Ovis aries: one gene and its partners. The protein of the gene in region 2 interacts with the protein of the main gene of each other region in a pairwise test. Links are inferred from orthologs where the notes say so. Each region holds a gene or a part of one and is shown on either strand. Other genes may lie near its edges. The genes, in order: RCHY1, KLHL41 and NRAP.

The links.
Region 1: the proteins of KLHL41 (region 2) and RCHY1 interact in binary tests that used the Homo sapiens proteins (3 or more experiments, as listed by UniProt). The two-hybrid records come from large-scale screens. The link is inferred for Ovis aries from reciprocal best matches to the Homo sapiens genes KLHL41 and RCHY1.
Region 3: the proteins of KLHL41 (region 2) and NRAP interact in binary tests that used the Homo sapiens proteins (3 or more experiments, as listed by UniProt). The link is inferred for Ovis aries from reciprocal best matches to the Homo sapiens genes KLHL41 and NRAP.

The regions. Positions count from the first base shown.
Region 1 is NC_056059.1:91,098,753-91,102,410, forward strand, and holds part of RCHY1 (RING finger and CHY zinc finger domain-containing protein 1), read right to left. Parts: intron 3,151-3,658; coding exon 3,072-3,150; intron 1,159-3,071; coding exon 1,114-1,158; intron 1,005-1,113; coding exon 946-1,004; intron 855-945; coding exon 828-854; intron 1-827. UniProt on the Homo sapiens protein: E3 ubiquitin-protein ligase that mediates ubiquitination of target proteins, including p53/TP53, TP73, HDAC1 and CDKN1B. Mediates ubiquitination and degradation of p53/TP53; preferentially acts on tetrameric p53/TP53.
Region 2 is NC_056055.1:139,969,188-139,972,123, reverse strand, and holds the end of KLHL41 (kelch-like protein 41), read left to right. Parts: intron 1-1,069; coding exon 1,070-1,181; 3' UTR 1,182-2,346; downstream 2,347-2,936. UniProt on the Homo sapiens protein: Involved in skeletal muscle development and differentiation. Regulates proliferation and differentiation of myoblasts and plays a role in myofibril assembly by promoting lateral fusion of adjacent thin fibrils into mature, wide myofibrils.
Region 3 is NC_056075.1:33,668,754-33,672,411, reverse strand, and holds part of NRAP (nebulin-related-anchoring protein), read left to right. Parts: intron 1-2,475; coding exon 2,476-2,580; intron 2,581-3,658. UniProt on the Homo sapiens protein: May be involved in anchoring the terminal actin filaments in the myofibril to the membrane and in transmitting tension from the myofibrils to the extracellular matrix.

The DNA of each region.
Region 1 (3,658 bases), on a different chromosome or scaffold from region 2:
ACTTCAAGACCATCTCACAAACCTTTTCATTTAAATCCTGTATCGTAGGGTATTTTTTAAACCTACTTCTTTTTCCTCAGTTCTATAAAATGGAGAGGAATTTAATATTCTTTGTAGAATATACGTAATATATTTTAAAAACCAATTAAACTGCTTTTTAGCTAAACAGCCTCAATTTCTTAATATATTCAGGCAAAGAAGAGATTGTATTCCTTAAAATTTATTCAGATCATGTTATTTTCTTTCTAAAAATTCTGAAACTGTTCCCTTCTATCTGGCTCTTAAATTAAAATTTCTGCTCATCAGTTTGCAGGACCAAAATACATTTACACAATTTCCTCTAACTATCTGCATCTCACTTTAGCATCCTTTCCCCACAACAAAATTAGCATTAGATAAATCTTGGTATGAGTTTTGGATTTTTTTTGCAGCTCATCATAGTGGACTAATACAACAGCTAATAATTTTGGGCAACATGTCTCAGCATTTTTATTTTTACAATGGTATGACTATCTCAACAGACACCAAGCTCCCCAATTAGTAGCCAGGGAATGAAAGGTATCTGTCTCAAATTGCAAATGAGATATGACATAATAGAAACATGAGGACTAAGGCAAAGTCCAGTGTTTCTCTCCCAACATGCTTTGCCCAATTTAACAGTACTCATCTATCCTACCCATCTCAAAGGAAATATCCACCATATCCAAATATGGTATAAGTAACTGGGAGTCTTGTCCATTCCCTTCCCCACTCGCCTGCAAAAAAAACAAAAAACAAAAACAGACATCTTACAGTAACAATTTTTTATAATCCCATCAAACACTTACTCTTTCAACATGTCTTCATAACACGTTCTGAAAGAAAATATAACATTATTTTAATGAAGCAAAAAGTATCTCCACCATTTCCAAACATTTTTGAGGAAAAAAAACAAAGTTACTTTACTTATGTAAAAGATGTCCACATGGCAAGACACGAGCAACAATACGAGATGTGTGAATGTCCTGTAAAAGCAAATAAAGTTGGTGGTTAATTACATGAATAAAATATAAATACCCAGTATTTTAAATTCAAAAGGGGCTATTTCCAAAGCAAAAAATATTTTAAGCTCACCTCCAAACATATTGGACAATCCTGCCGGGAAACATTTTCAATACACTGTTTAAAAGCAAAATTAAAATTACCAAAAGCTTAACTAGATGTTAATTATATAACCACAGCATTAATAACAAAAAACAAAAGAAACAATACCAACTTACTAAATGTAATAATGAACATTAATATGTTTCTTATATGTCAGACAAGAACTGAACAGTTAACTCTCACAACTATTTCAGGCTTTACACATTACCTGAAACAATGAAATTGCCTAATATATCTTAATTATTCAAATTATTTTCATTTTACAGATAAATAGTAATAGTTCATATTAAAGACATTTTACTACATGCCATATGTCAAGTTCATTACCTGCTATTCTCAATTAATTTCCACAACACTGAAACACATACAATTAGTTACCCCATTTCACAGATGAGGTATTTGAGGCCTGTGCATGCATTCAAGTGTGCTCAGTCATGTCCAAGGCTTTGTAACTCCATGGACTGTGGCCCACCAGGCTCCTCTGTCCATAAAATTTTCCAGGCAAGAATACTGGAGTAGGTTGCCATTTCCTTCTCCAGGGGATCTTCCTGACCCAGGGATTGAACCCGCATCTCGAGCACTGGCAGGCGGGTTCTTTACCACTGCACAACCTGGGAAATCCCTTTGAGATCTGGAGAAGCTAAATTACATGCTATCAAGAAATGGAAATATATGTGTGCTCCTGAGTTCTTAACTTGACAAGACAAGGTCTGATTAGGTGTGAAGAGGTAAGAGAAAGCATCAAGCCATAAATGATACCCAGGCTTTTTAGCAAACACCTGAGTAGATGATACCACCACTTACTAACAGAGACAATAAAAAAATAACCGAGAAACAAAACAAAAATACCATAAGAGAAACTGAGTATATAGTTTTCTAAAGACAACACAGCATATCTAACGGCAACACAGCATAGTTAATCAGCCTAAACTCAAGTCTGTAAAACCAGATCCAATCTTTTACCATCTCCTACAGTCTATTGATAAAGTACTTAAAGCCAGGACTAAAATCCTCAGGAGTCATCTTCATTCAGCCCCCATTCTCTCTCCCTTACACTTGTCACTGTACTCCCTATTGTCATTATTCACCTCAGTTTCTCTTCCTACCTCAGTATTTTAGGCTAGCTAGGATCTAGCAGGGCTTCTCTCGTGGCTCAGCTGGTAAAGAATCTGCCTGCAATGCAGGAGACCCAGGTTCGATTCCTGGGTCAGAAGATCCCCTGGAGAAGGAAATGGCAACCCACTCCAGTATTCTTGCCTGGGAAATCCCACAGACAGAGCTGGGCAGGCTAACAGTCCATGGGAACACAGAGTAGGACACAACTGTGTGACTAATTTTCACTTTTTCATTATCTAGTATCTTTTTAAAAACACCCTCATCAGATTCTCCATTCTCTCAATTCTTGGATAGAATCAGTACTATAAGCGATAGCTTATTAGATTTTCTCCTAAATAATGAAAAATAATTTTTAAAAGACCTAAGACCATGATATAAATAGGTCAAGCAATAGGTCAAAATTCTACATCCAAGTTGAAAATATTTTTATTGAAAAGGAATACTGGATTATCTAGGAATGCTATATTAACAAAAGGTTACACTGCTCTGTATTTCTCCTGTACCATACATTTTAAAAGCTATTCTCAAAACCAGTTCCAATGATAAGAATCCACAGGCTAATTTAGAGGCTGTCGACGTTATACTAATAACTGATGTTAAGTATTCTTACACACTATAGAGAAGAAAAGGGAACTGTACATCAAATATTCCAAGGTCTGTACTTTAGAACATTTACTTAATACTGCTTAAAAATAAAAAGCAACATGACAGTACTCAGTAACATCTGAAAGTTAGCATGCTTTTAAACAAATTAGGATTTTAGCTGTTTTCAAATATAATACTTTTTAAATCATACAAACTAAAGTACGTACCTTGTGCTTCCCTTGGAGATTCACTGCAAGGCATAAGTTACATTTCAAACAGTGGAAATAATCTTCCTTTGGACCAATTCTAAAAAAATAATGTGAAAACAAAAGATTACATATGTTTTTATTACATAGTTACTCATTATATATAAGTTCAGATTCACTATAAACAAAGTTCAAACCACACTGAAGAATATGAGGTGAATCCCTACCTCCCCAACATCACTCCCCAAATGCAAGCACTACAAACAGAATGGTATCTATCTTTCCAAGTATTTTTTTCTTCTATAAAACTGCATACACACATACATACAGATACACACGCTTTGAGTTTTATTTTTTACACAAATGGATTCTATCCTGTTTTGCAACTTCTTCTTCACTTAACAGTATTCCTTGGAGAGTATTCTATGTAAGAACATACAGAACCACTTTATTCTTCTTCAAAGTTACATAATATTAAATGATATGGATATATCTTAATTTTTTAATATTCTTTTATTGATAAAACTTACTATCTTTAGCCACTGCAATGATACAATAAATACCTCTTACAGATATCAGTCAACTACATATTGATGATTTTTCACAAA
Region 2 (2,936 bases):
GACTCAGCAAGGGGGTGAGATGGGTAAACACTGGAAGTGGCAGAAAAAAAGGATGAAATAATGGAGGGCTGGAAAGGTTTGGGTTTTTGAAAAACAGGGATAATTCTTGCTTGGAAAACAAGAATAGGCAGTGATTCTCAACTCTAACATAGGCATCAGCTAATTTTAAAATTATTTTAAATCTCATTCACTCATCACAGAATGATTTGGGGGTATTTCCTATGTGCCAAGTATTGATAGCTTCTGGAGAAGGGAAGATACTAAAGTGAATAAAATACATGTAACTTTGAGCTTGTTGAGGACATAAATATAAAAACATTAAAATAGGATGATAATTGTTATCATCAATGGATACCATATAAAGAACACCGTAAGAAATGAAGACAAAACAAACTGCTTCAGGAAGGCGAGAAGGGCTTCAGAGAGAAGGCAATGTTGAGGAATTTCTCATGCAGAGATGGCATTTCAAGCACCAGGCACCAGGCAAAGGAAAAGGGTCTCAAAGGGACTCAAGTTGTCTGTGTCTTCATGACCCTGAATATTCAGAGAGGGTGACCAGTTCTTACCTAAGGTCCAGTGCAAAGTCTAAGAGCAGCACTCACACAGGACAGTAAAGGGGAAGAGCAAGTTTCTTACAGAGTGACCCCTAGTGTCAGTGCCTTGCATCACACTGGTGTATGGCTACAGCTGAAATCAGAATCAAGGCGACTTAATTGTCTCTGCTCTTCCCAGTTCTTACTCTTTGCTGACCTGGATTCATGGGGACCAGCCATCTTTAGCAGTCCAGAGGTGAAGGATTAATTGCCTGTTACTTATCATCACTGGACAGTCTTTGATTCCCAGAGAAGGTTTAACTGACTAAGCATCCAGATCAAATACCGTGGCAATAATTTGGGTATATGCTCAGAGAATGCACATTTTTGGAGGAATTCAAGGGTTAGTCTAAGAGTCAGGTGCATCTTCCTCTGGGTAAGATCAAATGGGTTTTTCTCAGAGAAATATTTAATACCAGGAGATCTATAGAACTGTCTACTTTAAAACAACTTATTACATTCTTTTTCTCCATCAGGTATGAAGACGATAAAAAAGAATGGGCTGGGATGCTGAAGGAAATACGTTATGCTTCAGGAGCTAGTTGCCTAGCAACACGGTTAAATCTCTTCAAACTGTCTAAGCTATAAACAAGAAGGTGAAAAAATATAATAGATAGGGAGGTGGTCTGTTTGGATAATAGGGCCTTAATTTATTGTTTTTAAAAAGCCTATACAGAGATTCCATGTAGAAATTATCTACTTTGTTATTGTCCAAGAGATTAGCAGTGGGCATCAAAACCTCAAAGTTACTGAATTTTCAATGTAATAATCAGAGCTTAAAAAAATAATAAATGTTAAATTGAACAGATTATTTCTCTTGTTAATCTGTCTCAATCAATTATAAAGGAGCTTCCTAAATTTGAGTTTATTAATCCTTTCATTTGCATTGTTAAGGTGCCTTTACACTCCTTTTTCTATTACAAATGAAACTGGAGAATGAAATATGTACATTTACATAAAACAAATTTTTAATAGCAAAAACCTTTCCTCATGCTTCAAGATATTACAAGAACCCTGTGCAGTATATTAAAGATTATATGCTGTGAGAAGACTTTGGAAACGGAATAAATGGATTTCATTTGAAAGGGAAAAGTCTCTAAGCAAAAATAGTCAAATTCAAGTTTTCTTTCTTTTCTCCCCTTTCTTTATGCAACACTGGTATATTGTGATTTAAATCAAATTTTAAATTAAAAACCAGTAAATCACAGTCTTCAAGTCCTTAACTGCAGTACCTGTAGGTTGGGAGGCAATCTTAGGAAAAGGATTGATTCCTTAAATGCTGGGGCAGAATTTGGGGCCAGCAGGTGGTATGGAGAAAGGTGTGTATTCATTGCTTTGAGTTTTATCTATACTTTAAAGAGCTACCTATTTGCAAATTTCTGATAGAAAGAAGGATGACTGTATTATTCTATTTTCTGGGATGTAAAACCCTACATTGAAATTGTTTGTTCTTAGCATACATAGCAAGATGACATCTCAGTCTGTCCAAAACCATTACATTCTACTGTCTGCAAGTCATGAACTTAATCATGGCATATGGGTCTCATGTGCTTTCACAGACATGTTTGACTTCTAGCCTTATCTGTGTTATTTTCTGAGAGGCCTGAATTGGAACTGACTTGGAGTATTCCATTATTACTTGTTAAGCAACTGCATAAAAATATGAATGTTCATATTTATAAAATAAAGCTATAGCTTTATTTTCTGCATCATAAATATGGAAATATTCAATAAAATTTAGTCTTACTATGGATCTCTGAAGTATAATCTTGAGTACTTTTCTATATTGAACTGCACCCTGAGTATACAATCAGCAAATCCCAAAGGTGGGCAACTACAGGTTATTTAGCAGATAAATTGTTAAGAAGGAGAGATGCTAATAGATTAAGACAGACTTAAAAACTGGGGTAGGAGGGACTTCCCTGGCAGTCCAGTGGTTAGGACTCTGCACTTCCAGTGCAGGGGTCTGGGGTTCGATCCATGGTTGAGGATCTTCCTGAATGCTGCGTGGTGTGGTCAAAAAAATTAAAATGCACAAAAAGAATGTTTTTAAAGATTAGGTAGAGAAAAATACGGTAGGGGTGGGAAATTATGATGTCTAGAGATGCAAACTTGGGTGAGAGAATTATTAAGGGGAAGTCTTTACTATAAGAACATGACGGTGGTGACAGAATTATTAAGGGGAAGTCTACTATAAAAGCATGATAGTGGTTACTTTGTGGGGGAGAGTGCTGATCTATGTAGACATGAGATTAAGTTGTAAAAACAATGCTTTGGGATGATGTTCTAGAATAAATAACTTCTAGAATTAGGTAGTGATGATGTTCTAGAATAAATAACTGT
Region 3 (3,658 bases), on a different chromosome or scaffold from region 2:
CATGTGCGTATATACACGAATGTGTATATACATGCCTGTGTGCACATTTGTGTGTGTGTGGTCTGTGTGTGTGTATATGTGTGTTATCTCTGTGTGTATATGGTGGATGCGTGTTTACATGCATGTGTACATACTTGAATGTGTGTGTGCATGCATGTGTATGCATACGTGTACACACACATGTGCGTCTCTGTGTATATGCATATATGTGTGTACGTGTGCGTGTGCCTGTGTACAGAACAACTGGCTGCTGAGACCCCTTTCTCCTCCTTTCCCACCAGGGGAAAAATCAAGTGGACACTCATGTCCCTTCTAGGCCCCAGATCTTACAACCCCCCTGGGGAATGTTGTGTATTGCATCCTTACTCCCTTTTCTTCTCTGGGAGACTTTGCCAATTGAATAAAAAACAGATTCATAGTGCACGTGCTAAAATTAAAAAAGCAAAGAAAGGGATTCTTCAGTTACAGCGATGAAGGTGAAATGGCATTTGAAGCTGGTCAACATTTTTCTGTTTTTTTAAATATGGCTCTTTGAAAAATAAATACATAAATAAATATTTACTAAGACAGAGTTTCCTGTTTGGTAGGTGTGAATGGAACTTTTAGCAGAATAGAACATCTAGATTCTCTCCTATTCAGAGAATGAACTTTAGCCCTTAATGCTTCCTTATTCCACAAATAACATTTATGGCTTTTTTCCTCTTCCTATTTCCTCCGAATAGTCATGAGCCCTGTGAAAGGTCTCTAGGGAGGCAGGCACCGCCCCCCCCCTCCCCGCTGCCTATACTGTGGGAGAAGGGCAGAAAATACAGATTCCTGTGGACTTTGGTCACGTGATTCTGATTCCTTTAGTCAATGGCTCTAAAGGAGGGCGATTTTGCCCCCTAGGGGATATTTGGTGACATCTGAGGGACTTTTTCTGGTCAAAACTGGGAAGGTAAGAATACTGGTGACATCTAGTGGATAGAGACCACCCATCTTGCTCAGCATCCTGCCGTGAGCTAGACAGGCCGCCCCCAACAAGAAATAAAGTGGCCCCAAATGTCAGTGGAGCTGCTTACAAGAAACTTTGCCATGAGTTTATGTAGTGTTCAAGGTAACTTCTCAATAGCCAAGTGAAAAGGCATGTAAAGATTCCTCAATTTATGTACTTATACACATGTTAGTGCTGCATTAAGGAAGCCCAGACAAAGTGCCCTTGACAGGGAACTAGAATTCCCGGGTTCTAAACCTGGCTTTGCTCACCTGCTGAATGATCTCAGTAAGTTCACTTCTCTTCTCTGAGCTGCTTTCCTCATCTGTAAAATTAATGATTTAGATTTCAACTTGTTTAAGTTGCAGATTTCTGGGCTCCATCTTGGATCTCAAGCATTATGATATCTGGGTTTGAACCTAAGCCCTGATATTTTCTTTTGTGGTTAGTTCTTCTTATGTTCTCCTTGAGAAATCTTTGCCTATTCTGAAATCATGAAAATATGGTTAGATGTCAGTTCTCTTCAAATTGATTGACACAGTCAGTGCAGTCCCAGCCAAAACTCTGGTGTTGTTCATAAAAATAGACAAACTGATTCTAAAATTGATATGAACATACAGTGATTCTAGAATGGCCAAGAAATCTTGAAGAACAAAATCAAAGGACTTAGGTTACCAGGTTTTTAGGCTCCTCTGTCCATGAAATTTTCCAGGCAAGAGTACTGAAGTGGGTTGCCATTCCCTTCTCCAGAGGATCTTCCCCATCCAAGGATCGAACCCAGGTCTCCTACGTGGCAGGTGGATTCTTTACCATCTGAGCCACCAGGGTGCCTCTTGTGGTTGTTAACTCAGTGTAGTATTGGCACTACTGTAGAACTGACAGCTCAGTGGAAAACAATACCAGGTCAAGAAGTAGAGGTGCACACATGTGGTCACCTGAGTTACAACAAAGGCACCGCTGCAATTCAGTGCAGCAAGAATCATCTTTAAATAAATGGTACCTGAGTGACTGGACACTTTACGTAGAAGAGATGGACCTTGACACCTACCTCATACCTATACATAAACACTAACGCAAGGTGTGTTACGGATCAAGATGTGAAAGGTGGAATCATAAAGCATGTTCTCCTACACCTCATGAATTTGAGGAGCCAGCATTGAACAAGCTCCCCGAGTGTTAGGAACCACTGCTCTCACGTCTGGTGTTTTCTAAGCTGAATACTTGGTACTGTGTGATGAGCTTGTAGAGACATTGTCTTTTTATTAGCGCTGCACAATAGAGCTTTGCACACAGTAGGTGCTATCCACGTGCCACTTGGCTGATAGTACAGATGAAGCCGGTGGTGACACTTGACAGTACAGTGTGGCTTGTCATACAGTTACGAAGCTCTGCAGTTGAGACGTAGGATCCGCTCCCCCCACCACCCCCAATTCAGTTCTGTATTGTCTGTTACCTTGCTCGTTTCTGATGGAAACATTGCTGATGACATCTTCACTGTGCAGATCGGTGGCCAGGAGGATGGTGAACGGTTTAAGTCGGTTTTTCACTGGGACATGAAATCCAAGGATGAGGCCGCCGCACCTAACAGGCAACCACTGGTGGATGAGGTGAGGCGAGAGTTAGAAACAGGTTTGGAAGCAGAGAAAAGAATGGCACGTTGTGCAGATGACATGTGTAGTCAGCATTACTTTGCGAGGGAATTGGTTAAGCTTTCTTCTATCCATCTTGTCATTCCAGCTGTCTACAGAAGACCTCCATGGTCTGTTTCCCACATTCTCACGATACTTGGTATTACCAGACAAAAGTTTTGACCTGTATCTTGTTTTTTTCTATTTAAACTTTCCTGATTGAGCGTATTTTCACATATGAATGATCTGACTTTTCAGATCGCCAAAGGATGGTTCTACCCAACCTGTCCAACTTGCCATACCTCCAGCCCGCTTGGCTCCCTATCTCTTCCCCCCAGTTCCAGTCAAATCCATTTCCTCATGGTCTTTCACGTGAAGTCTATCATTGCCCTCATGCTTTTACTCATGGCAGTCCCCACTCTTAGAATTTATTCAACATGTGTGTGGGGTATTTTTTTTTTTTTTGGCCTTTTTAAAATCAGCATGTGTGTATGGAGTATTATATGCCAAGCACTATTCCAGGCTGCTGGAATACATCAGTGCACAAAACAGACAAAAATCTCTGCCTTCATGGAACAGACCTCCTTGAGCAGATGCTTTTCCTTGCCTCTCTGCATCATCTGGTAACCGACCTCATCCCTGGAGGTCCAGCTCAAATTCCTGTCCAAATCAGGGGGCCTCACATGGAGATTGGTTTTTGAAAACTCTCACTGTGTTTATCTTCAATACAGTACATATAATCACCAAACATTTTCTAATCACTGTTTCATATGTTAGTTTTATCTCCCTAGAGAAACCACACATATCTTAAAAGAGGAACTTTGTCTTCTTCTTTTTTGATTTTCTTTTCCTAGTGTTAATTGCTTAATCTAGCACTTGGCACACAACAGGTAGCAGATTTTTGAAGGTTGGCTGAATAATGCTGATTAAGCTCAGATAGATGGCCTGTTCACATCAACTCCCCGCTGCCCCATCTTGGTGCAATAATGTGCAAAAAATGTTAAGTTACATTTGGAACTCTGCTATGGTATCAGTCAATCTCTGAAATTTTTGGTTA